5 linked regions of the Canis lupus familiaris genome follow. The protein of the gene in region 4 interacts with the protein of the main gene of each other region in a pairwise test. Links are inferred from orthologs where the notes say so. Each region holds a gene or a part of one and is shown on either strand. Other genes may lie near its edges. The genes, in order: TCHP, CIAPIN1, CCDC33, NDOR1 and MTUS2.

Region 1 (4,303 bases), on a different chromosome or scaffold from region 4:
AGCCCAGAGTGCCCAGCCGTGATCCCACATGTCACTGACAAGCTGGGGACACTCCTGCTCTGTTGCTCCTAAAGGGCTAGAAGTTACCAGTTTTCTTTGCTCTTCTCGGGCCGACTTCAGACTGCCGTGCCGCTCCCGGATTCTTCCCTCCCGCAAGTCCATGCTTAACCGCAGCGCCTCGAGTTCTCTGGCCAGCAGCTCCTGCTCCTCCAGCAGCAGCTGCCTGAGCCTCTCCCGTCTGCCTTCCAGCTGCTTCCTCTTCTCCTCCTTCATCTTCTCACGCTGATAGGCATACATGCTGGGTGAGAGGGAGCCCTCCCTAAATCAGCCGCACTAGAGCCACACATGGCATGCTCTGCTCTGATGCGTGGCAAAGGAGGCTGAGGCGGACATGACATGGTGACACGGGCAAGTGTCTTCCAGCCGAAGCAAAGACAGCGGGTCACAGAACACTATGCATAACAGAATCTGGTTTTTGTGAAAAGAAAATGTACAGTGGTCTCATATATGCATGTACCAGCTAACTTTGACCAGTAACCATGTACCAGATACTATGTACATGGATGGCTTTCTATTAATCAAAAGTCCTACAAAGGAGGTCCTGTTGTAGCCCTACTTCACTGAAGAAGAAACTGAGGCTCATTCCTACAGCAAGTGACACAGTCAGGATTTCCATCTAGGTTTGTCTGACTCTGAAGCCTATGCTTTTAACTTTCACATCTTTACACATATTTCTGCAACAAAGGATGTACATGTATATGTATATTTATACACACACAACTGGGGAAAAGCACAGGAGGATCCATATTAGACTGTTAATTGTAGTTCCCTCAGGGGATCTAGGGTTACCAGGAGACTCCCAAATTCTACATGTATTTCCTATTCTTTTCTCCTTTTCAGTGCAAACATATCATTTCATGATGATCTTCCTTTTCAATGGTCAGTAAACATCACCATGCAAGTCATCTATGCCGTCCAGCAAATTCAAGAAAACATGCTGTTAAGCCATGTTCTACCTTCCCATCCCCCGCCAGGGGTTCTTAAAGCCACAAGCCGTAACCAACAAGTGGCTTCCTGCCTTTGTCCCACCAAGGTCCCAGCAGGTACCTCCGCTGGTAGGAGGTCTTGGAGCTCCATTCCGCCTGTTTGGAGCTACAGATATCAGACATCCTGAAGTAGCGGCTGTTCTGGTCCCACTGCTGCCGAAGCCGGGCCTCCTGCTCTCGGTGTCGCTGTCGGGCCATCTGCTGGTCCAGGAGCCTCCGGCTGCACCAGTAGGAGGGCAGCGTGGGAAGTGCCATCTGAAGAGAATGGCAATGGTACGAAAATGGGCCTGCTGCAGCTCCCTAATGAGCGGTCCTCACCCCTTGGCTGCCCCCTGGAATTACCCCACTCCAAACCAATGACACCAGAAGTCTTAGTGCCCGCCCCCAGGCATCAGCATTTTTAAAATGACTTGCATATCATTATTTTAAATGAGCCTGGACTGCACCCAGCTGTGAGCCAGACATCATCAAGGGCGTTGCAGACGAAGACTGGAACCAATGCTGACCCAAGCACTTGGGGGCTTCTATGTTCTCCACCAAGTAACAGGGATAACGATTTCAGGAATGTATATATGTGCCAAGCTCTTGGCATACATGATCTTTTTCATTGTTAAAATCACCCCATTATTTGGCAGGTGAGCAAACTCAAGTTCAAAATGGTAAAGTGACTTGCCCAAGACCACAGAGCCAGGAAGCAGAAGAGATGAAAGGGCTGGGAACCTAATTCACGCCAGTGTCAGACCAGGGCCTGGGCTCTGTAGATGTCAATAGGCTGCCCATGGGGACCAACAGGCCCTGGGTCAGGCAACCCCCAGGGAGTGCTCCAGCCTGGCTGTCACACCTGGAAGTGTTCTGGATTAGCACGGGGGTGACATTCCTCCACTTAGAAATGGAGAAACTGAGACCCAGAAAGGAATCGAGTTGCCCAGGTCACGACGCAAAACGGGGACACAATGGAGACTTGAAAGCAGGCAGCAGTCTCAGTCCAGGCACCCCTCTCCCTGACCCCAGGGCTGCCCCGATGGGCAGGGCCTACACAGTGTCTGGCTACCACAGTGCTCATGGAATGTTTCCTGAATATGCTTAGAAGTCTGGGTCCAGGCCAAGCCTCAAACTCAGTGCTCAGACCTGCAAGAACATAATGTGCGTTCATGGTCTGCGGCTGCCAGTTTACAGCCTGTCTTGAAACTGGGGCGGACTGGCATCACGTTTTCCCTGCCCCAAAAGCACCCCATGAAAAGCTCTGCACCAGGAATCAAGAAACAAGACTGGTCCCGGATCGCCTCTTTCTCTCAGCCCCTAAGACAGCCTCCTAAGACAAAAGGAGTTGCAGAGCAAGGCGCAGGGAGGGCGCAGGGAGGGCGCAGGGAGGGCGCAGGACCGCCGCAGGGGGCGCAAGGAACGCGCGGGGGGGGGGGGGGGAGCGGGACAGACGCAGGGTGGGTGCGGGGAGGGCGCAGGACGGCCGCAGGGGGCGCGGGGACGGCGCGGGGACGGCGCGGGGAGGCCGGGCCCCAGGACGTCCGCCACGGTTCCCGCCCGCGCGGGGCCACGGGGTCCCGGCGCCCACACCCGCCCGGCCGAGCCCACCGTCCGACTCACGTTTCTCAGCGCCCCGGAGTTTCCGAAAAGCGCCCCCGCCGAGCTCGTGCATGCCCCAGCCACGCCCGCCCCGTCCCGCCGCCACCTTCCCGGCGCCGCACGGCCCCCACGCCGGCGGTTTCCCCGCCCGTTGCCCGGGCAACGGATCGACGACGGAGCGCCGCGAGGGCCAAGCTGCCTCCAGCGCGATCCCAAACGCGCGGAGAGAAAGGAGGCTGGTTTGGGTTTTTCTTTTTTTCCTCTGGCGCCCTCTCGCGGTGGGGCGGGAGATCAATCCCAAACATCGCTAGTCCCGGAACCAAGGAAGGATGAAGGCAAAAAGAAGCCTCTTCACGACTAGGCAAAATTCAGGATGGTAGTTACCCGGGAGGGCGCGGGTGGGGGGTGGTGATCGAGGTGAGGACTGGGCGGGTCTCGGGCCTGGCTGCACACGGAGATTACCCGGGGGGGGGGGGGGGGGTCTTAAACGGCCGCTGCCGAGGCGCCTGCGGGGCTCCGCGGTTGGGCGTGATCCTGGGGACCTGGGATCGAGCCCCGCGTCGGGCGCCCTGCGCGGAGCCTGCCTCTCCCTCTGCCTGTGTCTCTCAGGAGTAAATAGAGCTTTCTTTTTTTTAAGTCCAGATGCCTTTAAACAAGAAACAAATAAATTCAGATGCAAGAACCAAACTCCAGGCCGATCCCATCAGGTTCTCCAGTTGTCAGGGTTGTCGGGCCCCCAGATGCACTCAGTGTGCCCCGGGTTCCAAGAACGGTCACCTAAGTGCATACAAGCTATTGGTAACTGTTGTCTAGCTTGGTGGTGGGTACAAGGGTGTTCATTGGTGCTTCAGGACTCACATGTGTTCCATGTATTATTTTATGTATGAAAACGGTGGTAAAGGGGTGTGCACTTGGCTCATTTGGGGGAACCTGCGCACTCCTGATGTCTAGATCATGAGTTCAAGCCCCATGTTGGCCATAAAGCATAGTTTAAAATTTTGTTTAAATAAACTTACCTTAAAAAAAGTCATAAAGATGACTTCACTCATTTATCCTCTTTTGTTTGCTCATTCTTCATGTTTAATTCTCTTAATTCCTCCCTTCATTCTCTTTCATCTGTCTGGGTTTTTTTCTGGGTACAGCATAGTCAGTATCTTGAACATTTTGGCCTCTATTCCGACCCCCCCACAAGCCAGTTATGAGGTCTCGGGCAGGTCACCTCACCTCACCTCTCTGGGAAAAGAGAATGGTCAAGTAATTGAACAGGGAGACCATTAGATGAGGCAGCTCTGATGCCTTGCTAGCCCAGCAAGCAAACCAAAACCAACACCAGAATCAAGGCTCTCAAATCTGAGAAAAAGTAAACGTGAGGTCAAACAGCCACCTAGCCTTGCCCAAATAAAGCAACTACTTAAGCTGTAGCCAATAAAATGATTTCCTTGCTTTGCTTTTGTCTCTTCTCTATAAAATAAAATAAAATAAAATAAAATAAAATAAAATAAAATAAAATAAAATAAAATAAAAAGCTCTCCCCCAGGTCCTGTGTGTGGCAGAGAGTTCCTACCCACATTGGCCTGGCACTACCCAGTTAAAATTGATATATTCCAAGTACACTCTTGAAAAAAAAAATTAATGTGCCTCAGTTTACCTTTTAACAAGAATACCAGCAGTGCTAT
Region 2 (3,511 bases), on a different chromosome or scaffold from region 4:
TGGAAGCAGAGGCTGGGATTCCAGCAGATTTCTTAAAGATTTTGGCTGGCCAGTCAAAGCAGAGGAGTGTGAATGTACCTGCAAATGTTTGCATACCTCATGGTTGGGCAATTTCTCTTGATTCAGGCATCATGAAACAGTGATGAGGTGAGGGGGTGGCAAAGGGCGGGTACAACTGTCTGAGGAGAAATACTTTTACAAGTGGCTTAAGATCCTCAAAGTAAGAAAAGCTGACTTTACTAGCATAGAAAGGACCCATGGGAAGAGGTGCAGGCTACTCTTATCAACCACGACCACCACTGCGAGAGCTCCTGAGGATGAGTGTGGTAATTCTGGGGTGTGGAAAGACTTCATTAGCTAAATCATGTAGCTCAGGCTTCTAGAATCTGGAGGCCTCAGTGTCCTAAGAGCAGAAGAGGCCAAATGAGGTAATAGCTAATGTGCTATTTCACATCAGAATCTGAATACGCCCAGGACAACAGAACATGAAACATTTTTCCATTTGGAAATGACAGAGATGAAGGAAGGACTAATCCTCTGGAGACCTCACTGTCTCTGTCTAGATCTCTGGTTCAACATCTGAGTTGTCTTTCTAGGCTCACCCAGACAGAACAATGCCCCCAGGCCACTCTTACCCGGGGGAGAAGCCTTCTTGGCCAGAGAAAGCTTCAGTTGACTAGAAGAACCCACTTCAAAGTTGGGTTTTTTGCCTGTGATGTGCACAGAGAGCAAGTTGTCACTTTGGTAACCCAGGTGTTCTTGAACAGACTGTATCTCCTTGGGGCTCAAGGACTCCTGCTGCAGCTAGAATTCAAGACATCAAAAGAAGTAGGTCACACTCTTTCCACAAAATGATGTCATACTAAGTCCACCCATACAGGTGTCAAATACTCATTTCTGTGTTACGAAGTGCATAATATCAGGAGATGATAGACATCATCACATTCAGTTTCTCAGTGATCTGTACTCTAGAGTGCTACTTTGCTTATGTGCTTACTTTGAGCCAACCCTCTGGAAAGTTTTCAAGTATTTACCAATCCCTGTCTATTAGGTACAAGGCACTGTGCCAGTTGTTCTGCGGGTTATAATGATTATGATTATCAAGATGAGTCAGGCATCCTGAATAGGATGATGCCTCATGGTGTACTACATAGAGGCAGGCGCACAATAAACATAGTAGAAATAAAATAGAGAAAAAAACCATAAAGGTGGGGGAAATGTTTTCTTGGGAAGAAGCAGCGGACAATAAAGGTAGAAAACAATGTGGGAGTGCCACCTGTGTCCAGCAACTACAGAATGGTTAAATAAATCACAGCTGCTCCACAGCACTCAATATTGTTACATCATTAATAAGAGTGAGGGGCAATGCACTGGGATAGATAAATGTTGAAGATATTTAAAGGTGGAAAAAGCTAGTAATTGAATAATGTATACATATGACCTCATTTACATTAAACAAGTACCTGTCTCTCCCTGTCACACACACACTCACAGAGGTCTGAGCAGTAACACATAAAAATGTGTTGGTGGCTTCCTCTTGGGAGGGAAGTGTGAGGAAGGCCTGGAATGTCACTTTATAATTCTATACTCTCCAGTATTTTTTTTGGGGGGGTAAGATTTTATTTATTTATTCATGAGAGATAGAGACACAGGCAGAGCGAGAAGCAGGCTCCCTGCGGGAGCCTAATGTGGGACTCGGTTCTGGGACCCCGGGATCATGACTTGAGCTGAAGGCAGACGCTTAACTGCTGAGCCACCCAGGCGTCCTTATATTCTCTAGTATTAATTGAATTTATATGAGCATCTCTTATTTTAGATTAAAAAAAAAAAACGGAAAACAAAAACAAACAAACAAAAAAACCCGGAAAACCTTAAACTAAAAAGAAAAATAAGCAAGTATGGGCATAAAGAAACTAAGGCCCTAGGTCATGCTGCCAATCTGTGGCACGGAAGGGGCGGGAGGGTACAGCTCAGTGGTAGAGCCTCTGACTCAAATCCGTGGTATAACACTTATCACGGTACAGCACTTTCCTCTCACACAAGAAAATTTCAACATCAAAGAAGGATGTAGAAATAGGAACACCTCTAATTAATCTAAGTATTTTTACTGAATTGTCAGAAGTGGGATATTCTTCCCTGACCCACTCCAGCCTCCACCAAACACCTGAGGATGATTCAGGTGCCCGTGTTTCACTTGGGCCTAGGATTTGTGTTCATTAAGGGACCCGTGTTGCTCTCTCCCTGAAACATGGGCGCCACCACTCCACCAGTACTGAGACCAGAATATGCCCCAACCCACAGGGGCCCAAGCTGAGTCTATTCAAAGGAGAGTTGTTTCAGAGGTTCTGTCCTTTGAGACACTGTGTATCTTACATGCAAAGCACTTCCCAGTTTGCTTCCCAGTCTACGTGACACTGCACCCCTCATTTTCCATGCTGTTACTCCCTCATTCTCCCCAGATCTATGGACAGAGATCCTGGGTGTGGTCACCCAAGGTCTCAGTTCCCAGCAAAGGAGGTGGTCTACTAACATACCTCTTTCACTTCCACGAGACCAGAAAGAGTCAGGGCCGAACACAGCTTAGATGTTGTCCTCACTTTGCTGTTGTTAACTGCCAAGAGGAAAACCCCGATTAGCAGCTTCATGGGCCAAAACAGGAAAAATCAAAAAGGATCCTATTTGCGTCAGCTGGCAATAAAAGTGATCGTGACAGTATTTTAATTTGACAAATCCTTCTGGTTGTTCAGTACGTGCTTACCTACTCCCTTAAGTGTCAGAGAATAATTCTATTGTTATTGTCCTGTCTCTCCTGGCTTCTTGGAAGAAACTTTCTGGGGTTTCTGGACACTGAGTGAAAAGGAGGCTGAGGACTCAGAAAGCACACAAGTATACTCTCTGCGCAGTTCCTACAAGAGAGACACTGCAGCTTCCCATGGTCTACACTTCCAACAAAGAACACTGGCATATGCCGTGTCCGTCACAAGTTTCTATTCCCACTAAATGCTTTTACATATTTCAAAATACTTTCGTTCTCTGGTTGCATTTACAAATTGAGTCATCACATACTGATGGAAAACGGAACAAATTCAGAAGTGACAGCTTCATCACTGAGCAAAAAAAAGAGAGGTTTTTATTTCCTGGGTCCTATCATTAGTTTCATATGAGTCAATAATTACGACTCATCACTCCCAGACTTCCAGTCATTATTTTCTAACTTTTTATTCTGAAATAACTATAGATGCATAGGAAGATTTAAAAAAAAAAAAAAAAAGGATGCTTCTCCTTGTTTCCCCCATGGGAACATACACAAGTACCGCACACTAGAAGACTGGGAAGTTATCACTCAGGGTCCACAGAGCTCCCCAGATCTCACCAGTTTTGCATGCACTTGTCTGGGTGTGCACAGCTCTGTGCAATCTTACCATGCTCACAGCTTCATGTGAGCACTTCCACAGTCACAAGGAGCCCTCCTGAGACCCCTTTCCAGGCTCACATATCCTCTGCCTCTCAC
Region 3 (3,511 bases), on a different chromosome or scaffold from region 4:
CTTGGAGTTCAGTCTGTTCGTTGGCCCGCTGACTTGCAAGTGTGGATGTGGGGTGGGGATCCCAGGGGGGCTGGGGACCAGCTTCTGAGCTCTGGGACCCACAGGAGTTGAACAACTACCGGCGGGCCATGCAGAAGATGGCAGAGGACATCCTGTCCCTGCGGAAACAGACCAGCATGCTGGAGGCCGAGAACCGCATGCTGAGGAGCCAGCTGACCCAAGAGGAGGGGGAAGAGGAGCAGGACAACAGCAACGCCCAGAAGCTGGATGAGGGTACACGGGCCACGGAGGGCATCCGGGGGCCGGCCTGAGCCCAGGCTCTGGATGGCGGGCCAGGGTGGGTGGAGCCTTTCCCAGGCGTGCCTGCCCCTGGACACCAGCAGGGGCCCACACCCTCTCAGGAACGGGAACGGAGACTCCAGTCCTCTGTCTCAAGCCCCGGGACTGAGAGACCCCTGCCCCCACCCAGCTGTGCTGAGCTGGAGATGCCTCTTCCCTGAGCCAGCTCCCCTCCCCCACCAGTGTCCATGAAGCAGAAACTGGTGCTGAGTGAGCTGGACATGAAGAAATTGAGGGACAAAGTGCAGTATTTGCAGAATGAGCTGATTCGAGTGAGCCGGGGCTGGGGGAGCTGAGGGGAGGGGAGCTGGGGGGTATTCAGCCAAGAGTCTGGGAGCAGATGGGAGAGAGGCATGGAGGGATGGGCTCACCGTAGTGGAAGGCTCAGGGGAGGGCCCCAGTGTGACCCGAGGCACCCCTTCTTTCCCCATCCCCCTCCTTCCCCCACCATCAGAAGAATGATCGAGAGAAGGAGCTGCTCCTCCTGCACCAGGCTCAGCAGCCACAGGCCACGCTGCTGAAACGGTACCAGGACAAGCTGCAGAAGATGAAGGCGCTGGAGGAGACCGTGCGGCACCAGGAGAAGGCAGGGGTCACAGGGGACAGCCCGCCAGGCGCCAGCCTCGGAGCACAAGGTGGGGAGACCCCCGGCCAGCCCAGCCTCTGTGCTCTGCCCTCCAGGTGATCGAGAGGATGGAGCGGGTGCTGGAGGACAAGCTGCGGGATTGGAGGGAGCCCCTGCTAAACAGGCCTCAGGGAAAGCCTCCCATGGGTGCGTCTGCTCCCCGGCCTTTGTCCCACCCCTGGGGGCCCCGGCTACCCGCAGCAACGGCTCCGAGGGCAGAACTGGGGCAAAGGATGCTACCTCCCTACGGATGCAGGCAGGGAGGGGCTCTCAAGGGTCCCCTGGGCTCCCTTCTGCCAAGGAGCCCCTCAGGATGCATCGGGACCGTGTGTGAGCCAGGCTGGAAAGAGAGCGGGTCCTGCTCAGACCCCAGAGGAGACGCCCCCTGTTCTGGAGCAAGCAGTCAGGGGCTGCCCGAGAGGAGGGGCGGCCTAACCCTTCCCGGTACCTCCTCGTCTCCCCAAGTTCTCAGGGAGTCTGCTTCTACAGAACAAACAGTACTGGCCTTGATGTTAAGCAAAGCCACCTAGAACTGGCCAACTGGGTGGCTCAGACGAGCTGGGGAGAAGCGGGGGGGCCCAGGCAGGGAGCCCCCGAGCCTCCCGTGCAGCCTCACTGAGAAGCCCTGTGTGCCCAGCCCGCGTCAGCCTTCAGTGCATGGGGTGTTGGCGGGGGGCGCTTCGGGAGGCCTTCGGGAAGCAGCGCAAGCCGGGGCTGCCTTCCAGGCACCCCAGCGTCATCCCAGAGCGGGGCCGAGGGGGGCCGAGGGGGGCCGAGGGCTCAGAGCATGGGCAGACCAGGGGCGGGAAGGAAGGAAAGAGAGCGGCAAAGAGCTACAATAGACCCAGGGCCAACAGGGAGCACTGGGGGCGGGTTCTAAGGAGCCTAGAATGATGCCTGAGGCCTGTGGCCCCGGTTCCGTGGGCGGCAGGGAGCCACGGAAGACTTGGGAGCAGAGGAGGAGCAGAATGGAGCACAACCGGGGCGGAGCAGCCCGGGGGCGTGCGGACGGGAAAGCCCATCTCAGAGCCTGTGGCCCGTCCGCAGCCTTCCCCGTGCTCCCAGCCTCCGGCCTTCCGCTGGGGACCGCAGGAGAGCCCCTGCCTGCCGACCTGTACTCAGCCTTGCTGGCAGAGAACTCCCGGCTGCGGGCAGAGCTGGAGAAGAACCGCCACCAGCCGGCCCCCATCATCCTGCAGCAGCAGGCCCTGCCGGTAAGAGCCACCAGCACCCACTCGGCCCGGGCCGCCCCAACAGGTGGTGGGTGCGTAGCGGTCTCACCCAGCACAATCCGAGTAGAAGACCACGACCAGGCGCTGGGCTTCCGGGGTCTCCAGCGCACCCCCAGCCCTCGGGCCTGCTCTTTTCTCCCGGGGGGAGCACACGTGGGCCTGCAGCCTCCACATTTGCCCTTGGCTAGCAGCCTGGGAGAAAGCAGGTCCCTCGTGGCCCCTGACCTTTGATCCCTATTGCCACCTGGCTGGCCTGCACTTGGACTCGGCGCCAGCCTCTCTGAGCTCTGTCCTGGAGCATTTCCTGGGATGGTACAGCCTTGGAGAGCCTTTTCCCCATCCCAGGAGGACCCCGGGGAGTTGGGAACAGGAGGAGACCTGGCAGAGAGACTGCAAGAGACAGATGGCCCAGGCCACTCCAAGGGCACAGAGACCTTGCCCGCACAGGTGGGTGTCCCGGCCCCAGAAGTGCCCGAGCCCCGCTCCATCTCCAAGGCTGCTGCCGGCACCCCTGCTTTATGCAAACCCAAAGACAAGACACTGGAATTACAGAAGAGGGGTGGGCAGGGAGCCCAGGAGAGCTCTTCTGTTCATCCCGGGACTTGCAGGAGGTGAGTTCTGTTAGAAAGCACACCTGATGCATGGACATCCAGGTAAAGTGCGGGGACAGGGGAGCCCTTGCTTCCATAGTCTTCACTTTACAAAAAAGACACCCTCCTCCAAGATTCCTTGCTGGGCGCTCTCGGGGGCTGCTTAGTGAGGTTTATGGTTAGAAAGTGACTTGCAGAAACTCCGCATAAGCGAAGTCCCTGGGGGAGGACAGGGGTGACAAAAGCACCTGCCATCTCAGGTCAGCTTCGGGAGGAGGGTTCGGCGCTGGGCCTGAGGCTCTGCACTGGGGAGCTGGGAACTCAGACCTGGCTGGCGTCTCCCTCAGTGGCTCACGGCCCCCCGAGCCCCCACGGCTGCGGACCCCGCGGGAGCCGGGTGGGTGAGTCTCCGCTCCGCCCGCAGGATCTCCTTGCCAGCACTTCGGACAAGTTCAGCCTTCTGGCCAAGCTAGAACGAGCTCAGAGCCGGATCCTGTCCCTGGAGAGCCAGGTAGGTGAGCCAGGCAGGGGCCAGTCAGGCTGGGCACACTCGCCACTCAGCCCTTGACCTTTAGGCTCCCAAGTACGGCCAGGGTTGTGACTCCGTGTGTGACCAGGGTCAGGGCTCAGCGTATTGTTGGAACTCAGAGAAGGTCTGTCCGTGTCTGGATCAGGCTGCCCCTCCCCACCCACCCCTGCCACACCTGATGTGTCTGGAAGGCAGC
Region 4 (3,956 bases):
TATATCTGGGTTTCTTGCAGTGGTGTCTTTCTGAGGCTGTGGTGGTTCTTTGTGGCCTATTTGTAGTTAAGAAGCTGACGGGAAACCATGAGCTCAGGCCTGTCACCCACATAGGTCTTCCAGCCAGGATCCTGCCGGGTCTTCCACTCTGGTGACTTCCTTGCCCTACAGAGGGGTCCCCTCTGTGCAGCTGGTCACTAAACCGGGTCTTCAGCAGGCGTCATGCCCCTTCCTCCATGTCCCTGGGACCTCAGTCTGCAGCTTCTCCAAGGAGCCTCCAGGCCCTGCTCTGGTTGGGGAGGGCCCCCTGCTGACCACTCCCATGGTGGTGTCTATGCCTGTAGTCATCCGGGGATGACCTTCGCCCCCTCCTGCTGACATCCAGCCTGTACCCCAGCCCAGCTCACCTCAGCAAACTCTGTCTCCTCTCCCCTCCCAGGCCCTGTGTCCTGGGCACCCACCCTTCTGCATCTGATCCCCTCACATTTGCCTCCTCTCCTGTGCCTCTTCCTGTCTAGGGAGACCCCTCCTGACTGTGCTAGGGTCTCAGCCCCAGGTGTCCTACTCTGTCCCTACAGTGACCTTGCTCTTTAATCTTAAGCCTCTGGCTGCCCCTGTGCTCTGCACCTCCCCTCCCAGTATATAACAGCTCTCTCTTATCTTAGTAATACTTTCTTTCCAACCCCTTAGCCCCATTCACAGCCAGAATCTTTTTTTTTTTTTGGGTAAGTTCCACACTGGGCACGGAGCTTGAATTCAAGACCCTGAGGCTGTGACCTCAGCTGAGATCAAGTTGGACGCCTAATGGACTGAGTCCGCCAGGCACCAGTTGGTTCAATGCAGATTTTCTACACTCACTCACTGGTTGAGCCTGTGACCCTCTTCACTCCCTGTGAGTTACTGAAACTGTTTTCCCCACGGTCACGATCACAGTCCCTTTGTTGATAAACCTGACTAGTGCCGCTCATGCCTTCTCTCACTTCATTTCTGTGCAGATTTGGGTGCTGCAAACCTTCTTCTCACAAGTCACTTCTGTGCCCCTGACCCTCTTGACTGTGTGGGGGCCGCTTTCCTGCCCTGTCCTCCTCCACCTCTCACGGCCTTGGTGCTCAGGGCACCTTGTCCCAGGAGAAGGTGTGTCCTGGCTCACGCCTCACCCAAGATCCTTGCTAGATCTCCACACAAACCTGCATCTCCACCTGGACAACTTCTAGCACTTGGCCTTCCTGGTCCCTCTGTGCACGGAACTGCCATCCATTCTGGTCCTCCAGCCTGAACCTGATTCCATGCTCTCTGGGTTCTACCTAACATCTCAGGAACACGTCTATTTTTCCACTGCCTGACATCATCCTGGCTCAGGCCACCAGCCTACTGCCCGCAGGGTGCATCCTCTGGGGTTCTTGCTCTCCTGTACCCTGCCCTCCCCATTAGCAAGTGGCAGTTTTGCTGGAATACAAATGTGCCTGAATCACCCAGTGGATTGCATGGCTCCTCACCTCGAGTCGTCCACCTTACTGTGGCTACTGGGCTGCTTGGAGCCAGGCCTGGCCTCCTGCATCCCATCTCTCCTCCCACCCTCGTGCTCTCCTTGGCACTGTCACACTGAAATGCTTCCTGGTCTTCCCAGATGTAGTCTTTCTCCTCTGCACAGGCCAGCCCCACTTCCCCCTCAAGACTTAGCCCTACAAGCCTTCCTTCCAGAAAGCTCTCCCTAAGGCCCCAGGTTGGGCTAGAAAGTTTGTATTAATGCCCCATGGCATCTGGCACTTTCCCTGGCAGCATGTATCTCCTAGTATCGTAACTGCCTGTGAAAATTGTTGCTTTTGCTCTATTGTGAGCTCCACGAGGACAGAAATAGGTTCATGGCTGGATGCCCAGCCCTAGATCACGCTTGGAATACAGTGTATGCTCAAGAATGTTGAAGGAACTGAAGAATGTTCTGGTAAAGTCCTGGTTTTGAAATACACACATAGACCACCTGATCCATACACAGCCCTGGAGAAAATATTAAAGGTTAAAATGCAGAAGAAGGCTACTTGGTGCCCGTGAAGAGTTTATTAGAGAGGACAGCTAAAGCCTCCAGCTCCACCCCAGGACACCCTTCCACATTCAAAGCTGACAGCACCTATGGGAGGGCAACTGTTTATTGTGCTTATGGGACACTCGGGCAACGATAGGACAGTGAGGGTCCAGGGCAGCAATCTGAGCTCCACAAAGGAGCCAGCCTTACCTTCATGTTGTCGGGGGGTTCTCCTTGGCCTGCAGTTGCACAAACAAATACCACCAGGGGCTCATTAATCAGATTCACCTCAATGAAAAGACACACATGTAAGGCCTCAGGCTGTAAGGACCAGGCCCCCTCGCCACCACTCAGGCTGCTGGAGCAAGAGGCCTAAACCTGCTCGGTCAGGGTCCACCCCCACCCCCCTGCCCACTCGTTGCCGACCCCGGCTTCCCGCGCCCTAAGTCCACCATGAAGGCAGGGCCCGCTGTCGGCTAGGATGCGGCGCCCTGACGCCCCAGGCCAGCTGGGTCTGCACGCCGGGGCCGCGGGGGCCCTCACCACCGAGTACGAGTCCAGGGCCTGCACGCGGCAGTCGAGCCGCCGGCGCCGAGCGTCGCGGCCCAGCCTCTCAGCCACATCCTGAGCCGTGCCGGTCTGGCTGCCGAAGAGCACCAGAAGCCCCGGGCTCGGCATCTGGGCGCGCCCGGAGAGCCCTGCACCCGGGAACTCAAACGGCCGGCAGGTCCCGCCAGCCCCGGCAGCCGGATCCGCGGGGACTTCCGACTTCTGGCGGCGTCCGGAAGTGACGCACTCAGGACGCGCCCCGCTGGGCATGGCGTCCGAGGAAGGCTGGCGTCCGCTAGCGGCCGGTACTGGGTCCCGGACCGGGGCCGGGGTGTTGGCGCCACGCCAGGGCCGAAGGCGGGGACAGGCAGAACCACTCGCCGTGTCCTGCTCGCCGCAGCAGCGACGGCGGCAGGTGCCGGCGAGGCCCGCGGGGAGAGGAGGAGCAGTCCCGTGGGTGAGACGCTCGGCCGGGCCGCGGCCCGCGCTAAACCGGCGCGATGCTCTTCTCCCTCCGGGAGCTGGTGCAGTGGCTGGGCTTCGCCACCTTCGAGATCTTCGTGCACCTGCTGGCCCTGTTGGTGTTCTCTGTGCTGCTGGCGCTGCGGGTGGACGGCCTGGCCCCTGGCCTCTCGTGGTGGAACGTGTTCGTGCCCTTCTTCGCCGCTGATGGGCTCAGCACCTACTTCACCACCATCGTGTCTGTACGCCTCTTCCAGGACGGAGAGAAGCGGTTGGCTGTGCTCCGCCTCTTCTGGGTCCTCACGGTTCTTAGCCTCAAGTTTGTCTTCGAGATGTTGTTGTGCCAGAAGCTGGTAGAACAGACTCGGGAACTCTGGTTTGGCTTGATCACGTCTCCGGTCTTCATTCTTCTGCAGCTGCTCATGATCCGTGCCTGTAGGGTCAACTAACCTCGCAGAAAGGCGGGAGAAAGAACTCTGGATAGCTTGGATGCTGGACCCCGAGCTGAGGCCCTAAAGGGGCCTTCCACCGTACCAAAGGAGAAGTCTGGGTCTGAAAGCAAAGCCAGCTGCTGCTCTGGCGAGTGCTCAATTTTCTCTATACCAATCGTCTAAAATTGTTCCCTCAGCAAAGCTAAAAAGAGCAGCCTTGATCCTTAAAATGTATTTCTTGTTATTTCATGTTTTGAATAGGTAATCACGAGTTGAGATCCTGAGAAGGACCCCACACCAGACAGTACAGAATTCCTTTGACAGTTGGAAGCTACATATACTTAAAATGTCCTGATGGGCTCAGAGTATTTTCCTGGATCTTGGGGAAGTACTCCATATGCAAAAGCTGCAAAGCTGGACTTGGGGATTTCCTCTGCCCAGCAGCACTAACCCAAGAGCTCACTGCCCCATCTATCCAGACAAGACTTACCTAG
Region 5 (4,215 bases), on a different chromosome or scaffold from region 4:
TACACCCAGGTCCAAAAAAAGCCCCATTTGTGCAAAATCACAAGGCAAAGAGTTGGTTCTCCAGGTAACCACCTGATCTCAGTAGCTCCACACAGCCCTAGGTTATAGCACTTTGCTCTTTTTCAGTAGGTCAACTACACCATTGGCCAGATTTCAAATTTTGTCTTTTCAGAAGACTGGGGATGTTAAAAGGAGAAAAAGCATTTTTACAAGTTAACTTAACATTCAAAAATAATTGAGAGCCAGAAGAGATTCCAAGTTTGCAGAGCATTACATTTATATGATGGGAGGCAGGGGGGTGGAGAGAGTGTCATCCTTATTTTTAAAAAATCTAAAATGCAAACACAAAATTAGGTATGACCATGTGAACTCATTGCTAGTGGCTTTCCAGGGGCTCAGAAGAAACCTGTGTGAGGGGCCCTGAAGTTTAAGATTCATTAGCTTCCCAGTAAATCCGCCTCTGCTGGGAGAAATAAAAGACTAGAGCGGTTTATACCGCAGCATTAAAATCTCTAGAAAACCGCTAAGCTTAACAGCATTCTATTACATCAATCCTCTAGATGCTATTCTTATCTCTCTTTCACAAACCTCCATCCCTGCCGTTCCCTCTAATTTGGCAGCCACAATTCATTATAAAAGTCCATGTGCCGGCCTGGGGTTGTGCATCCTTCCCCTATTTGGGCTCTAACAATCTAGTACTGTGTCAATTATGTAATAGCCAAAACACAGAGTTGAACAGAGTATGAAAAAGCATAGTTCTTACATAAGCCTTCATAAACCACCCATAAGAGCTGAATATTTGAAATTACATAAGGTAGACAGAAAACCCTGAGTCAGCAGCCAGGTCTATTTCCAACCTTAAAAATAATAAAAAGCTTTTCACACTTAATTTACTAGTCTACATTAAGTTTTTAATTAGATTTTTTTAATAAGGCTGGATTATCTTTTCGTGCACCCAGAAGCAAAACCCTGACACTATACTCAACTTCACTATTACCTCGGCACAAAGAAATGTCCCACTTAGGACTCCTCTACATATTTTACTTGGAATTATGGGTCTCTGAGAAACAACAAGGACTTCTGCAGGCTTAAAAAATAATCAAGGAAGACCTCTGGATACAATACAAAAGTGCACATACTATAATTCTTCGACACATCTTCCCAATACTGTTTTTCTTTCCCATTTTTTAAAAGATTTTATTTATTTGAGGGAGATGGAGAGAGAGAGCAGGAGCAGAAAGAGGGAGAAGCAGAATCCCCGCTGGGCAGGGAACCTGATGTGGGGCTCAATTCCAACACCCCGAGATCATGACCTGAGAAAAGGCAGATGCTTAACTAACTGAGCCATCTAGGCATAACCTCCCCCAAATTTTAACCACTTTTTTTTTTTATTTACCTTACACCACTGAAGCCACATGTTGGGCTAAAAGGTGATAAAACTAAAAGGAGCAGTGCTCCCCAATGGGTCTCAGCCCTGGCTGCACAAGAATCAGCAAGAGAGCTTTTAACATTTCAAATGCCTCAGCATCGCCCCAAACCATGATAATATAAATTAAAAACAGATAGGAATACTAAGGTGGGGGCACAAGAGGGGGTGCCTAGACATCAGAATTTCCGACGTTTTCTATTTTTGTCTTCTTCTTACCTGAAAAGAAAATAACCATGGATACAAGAAGTTTTAGTGAGGAGGGATCTTTAATAACCGATAGCTCAAAATTACTAAGTCTCTACCAGATATAAAAAGAAAATCATTCAGTAGTTTGAAAGCCATAAGAGAGATCTGTGGGATCTTCTGTTTTTATTTCTATCAATAAGTAGTCAAAATTTTTCACGAAGTTTCTCAATAGCCTTTACAGAACCTCTTTTACTTTTTAATGTTTTGCAAATCTGTCTAATGAGTTCAAAGGACGCGCCCTCCCTAGATCATCTTAAAGGATCCCTCAAGCTAAGACCATGCTTCTCTTCAAGTAAAGTTGGGGTTGAAAATAGTTTTGACTTCTCTTCAACCCTTCTCCTCAGGTGCTCTGGTAATCACTATTATAACTTTACCAATGAGCAACTATTTTTTGAAGTACTTATATAACAGAGAGTACAGGCGCCTTTGGTACCCTGCCAAGAGTACTTCTTTCCATGTTTGTATTTAAAATAGAACGGTAGTAACATCACTTCTGTGCCTGAAATTCCTCTGTGCACAGGCTCAGAATGAGAAGGGGAAAAAAATGGATGTAGCAAACCGCTTCACTGCTTTATCATCCTAAAGCTCAAAGGAAATAACACATTCATACTAAATTAAGACGAAGGCACAGAACAAATTACCCGAAGCTGGAGGCGGAGGGAAGGACTCGGGTCCGCTCACCTACCCCCTCCCGAAACAGGACGCTTGACCTGGCAGCAGCGAAGGCGCCAAATGAGCTGCCAGACCTCAGCCCGAGCAGGTGGTGCGGGCAGGAAGGAAGAAGTGCCGCGAGCACAGAAAAGCCAGGTAAACGCGGCGCGGCGCGGCTCCGAGCCCGGCTGCCGTCACCCCGACTCGGCCACCTGCCGGCGGGCGTGGCCCCGGCCCGACTCGCTCACCTGGTGGGAAGAGCGGGGGCAGCCGTCCAAGAGGCCGCCGCTGCCCTCAACGGGGCTCCGTCCCGGCCCGCGGCCGACGCGCTGCCTCCTCCGCTCCCTCCGCCGCCTCTTCCAGCTCGAGTTTTCTATTTAGCGACAGGTCCGGACGCGGCGGGCGGGCCACGGAGGTCGGCCGCGGGGAGGGGCGCGGCAAACTTGCCCCAGAGGCCCGCGGAGGCGGCGCGGCCGGGGACGCCCCCGCACCTGCAGCGCGCTCGCCCGCACCGTCGCCCCGGCCCCGGCCCCGCCCCCGCCCGCGCCCCGCCCCCGCACGCACCTCGCGCGGGCACCGCCCAGGCCTCCGCCTCCGCCCCCGCGGCGGGCGCTTCCCGGCCCCCGGGGCCCGCGGCCGGCGCCCGCCGACAGCACGCCCGGCTCGGCCGCCGCGGCCACCGCTGCTCCGGCCGCCTCTCCCGGACAAAGACGGGCGGCGGGGCGGGCGGCGGCGAAGCCCGAGGCTCGGAGCGCGCGGCGCTGGCGGGGGCGGGGGCGGGCGGGGGGACAGCGCGGGGCGGCGAGCGGGCGGGCGCGGGAGGGCGGCGCGGGGCGGCAGAGGCGCGCACCCCCTCCCGGCCGCCCCGAGACGCACACGCCGGGGCCCGGGCGCCTCCTCCCGGCCCCGGCCCCGCCGACCGCAGCCGCGCCGCCGGGGAGCCGCAGCGCCCTCTGCGGGCCGCGGGGCCTCCGTGCGCGCCGCGTTGGGCTCCGGGCCGGCGGCGGCGGGGGCGGGCGGGGGCGGGCGGGGGCGCGGGGCCGCGAGGGTCCCCGCGGCCCCGGGGAAGGACGGAGTAGGACCGAGGCGGCGTCCGAGAACGGGATCCGCTGTTTTTCCTCTTGGGACGGAAGAGAGAGACAAGATTCGAATTCCGGGCAGCAGGAGGAATCTGGGATCCGAAGTGGGAAAAACTTGGGGGGTCGGGGGGGGGGGGGCAGTAGGATTCCTGATTCACAAGGACCCAAAGCTAATCTCTGGTAATGGCTGCAGAAAAGGCAGGCGTGTCCTTCTAGAAGCCGGTGCTTCTGTGCCTGATACTGCGGGCCTGCAGAGAGCTTGGCCACTCTCATAAATAGACGCATGGACTTCTCCAAGACCTTTCCAGCCCTACCCGAACTGCCCCCGGCTTCCCTAGGAACGCACCTGGAAGGTTTGAAAAGGCAACTGAGATCAGAGAACTTCCTCCTCTGGCTCAGCCGCAGTGGAACAAATGTTTACTATTAAAAAAAATGAAACCGTGATGTTGCCCCTTGTGCCATTTAGGGCTTGTTTTTCTTTTCTTTTCTTTTCTTTTCTTTTCTTTTCTTTTCTTTTCTTTTCTTTTCTTTTCTTTTCTTTTCTTTCTTTTAAGGGTGTCTTTTTCCAAACTACCATGTTACCTATAGTGTTCTATACAAGTTAGCTTTTTAAACAAGCTGAACGACTTGGTGACCGGGGATCGCGAAGTAGCACCTTTTTTCCACACTGTCTTTTGAAATCATTCTGTCAGCTCTCCCTTCCCCTTTGGAAGAATCTAGGACAGTTTTCACAGCTTTGCCTTGCCGCTGTTAAGTGTTAGTAAACAGGCTGATTCTCCAGTGTTAAAAAGTCCAGCCCAACCCAAATCA

Evidence for each region.
Region 1: the proteins of NDOR1 (region 4) and TCHP interact in binary tests that used the Homo sapiens proteins (3 or more experiments, as listed by UniProt). The two-hybrid records come from large-scale screens. The link is inferred for Canis lupus familiaris from reciprocal best matches to the Homo sapiens genes NDOR1 and TCHP.
Region 2: the proteins of NDOR1 (region 4) and CIAPIN1 interact in binary tests that used the Homo sapiens proteins (3 or more experiments, as listed by UniProt). The two-hybrid records come from large-scale screens. The link is inferred for Canis lupus familiaris from reciprocal best matches to the Homo sapiens genes NDOR1 and CIAPIN1.
Region 3: the proteins of NDOR1 (region 4) and CCDC33 interact in a two-hybrid assay, tested with the Homo sapiens proteins (2 studies listed by BioGRID and IntAct). The two-hybrid records come from large-scale screens. The link is inferred for Canis lupus familiaris from reciprocal best matches to the Homo sapiens genes NDOR1 and CCDC33.
Region 5: the proteins of NDOR1 (region 4) and MTUS2 interact in binary tests that used the Homo sapiens proteins (3 or more experiments, as listed by UniProt). The two-hybrid records come from large-scale screens. The link is inferred for Canis lupus familiaris from reciprocal best matches to the Homo sapiens genes NDOR1 and MTUS2.

The regions. Positions count from the first base shown.
Region 1 is NC_049247.1:17,591,739-17,596,041, forward strand, and holds the start of TCHP (trichoplein keratin filament-binding protein), read right to left. Parts: upstream 2,803-4,303; 5' UTR 2,649-2,802; intron 1,302-2,648; coding exon 1,108-1,301; intron 299-1,107; coding exon 88-298; intron 1-87. UniProt on the Homo sapiens protein: Tumor suppressor which has the ability to inhibit cell growth and be pro-apoptotic during cell stress. Inhibits cell growth in bladder and prostate cancer cells by a down-regulation of HSPB1 by inhibiting its phosphorylation.
Region 2 is NC_049223.1:58,254,963-58,258,473, reverse strand, and holds part of CIAPIN1 (anamorsin), read right to left. Parts: intron 2,612-3,511; coding exon 2,535-2,611; intron 805-2,534; coding exon 636-804; intron 1-635. UniProt on the Homo sapiens protein: Component of the cytosolic iron-sulfur (Fe-S) protein assembly (CIA) machinery required for the maturation of extramitochondrial Fe-S proteins.
Region 3 is NC_049251.1:37,908,065-37,911,575, forward strand, and holds part of CCDC33 (coiled-coil domain-containing protein 33), read left to right. Parts: intron 1-104; coding exon 105-273; intron 274-522; coding exon 523-611; intron 612-793; coding exon 794-925; coding exon of another isoform or gene 926-974; intron 975-1,020; coding exon 1,021-1,111; intron 1,112-2,011; coding exon 2,012-2,178; intron 2,179-2,471; exon of another isoform or gene 2,472-2,541; coding exon 2,542-2,643; coding exon of another isoform or gene 2,644-2,807; intron 2,808-3,210; coding exon 3,211-3,297; intron 3,298-3,511.
Region 4 is NC_049230.1:48,445,578-48,449,533, forward strand, and holds the start of NDOR1 (NADPH-dependent diflavin oxidoreductase 1), read right to left. Parts: upstream 2,804-3,956; 5' UTR 2,699-2,803; coding exon 2,564-2,698; intron 2,465-2,563; exon of another isoform or gene 2,309-2,464; coding exon 2,231-2,308; intron 1,996-2,230; exon of another isoform or gene 1-1,995. Other genes in the region: TMEM203 (transmembrane protein 203), read left to right, coding at 3,070-3,480. UniProt on the Homo sapiens protein: NADPH-dependent reductase which is a central component of the cytosolic iron-sulfur (Fe-S) protein assembly (CIA) machinery.
Region 5 is NC_049246.1:11,012,804-11,017,018, forward strand, and holds the start of MTUS2 (microtubule-associated tumor suppressor candidate 2), read right to left. Parts: upstream 2,807-4,215; 5' UTR 2,575-2,806; intron 1-2,574. UniProt on the Homo sapiens protein: Binds microtubules. Together with MAPRE1 may target the microtubule depolymerase KIF2C to the plus-end of microtubules. May regulate the dynamics of microtubules at their growing distal tip.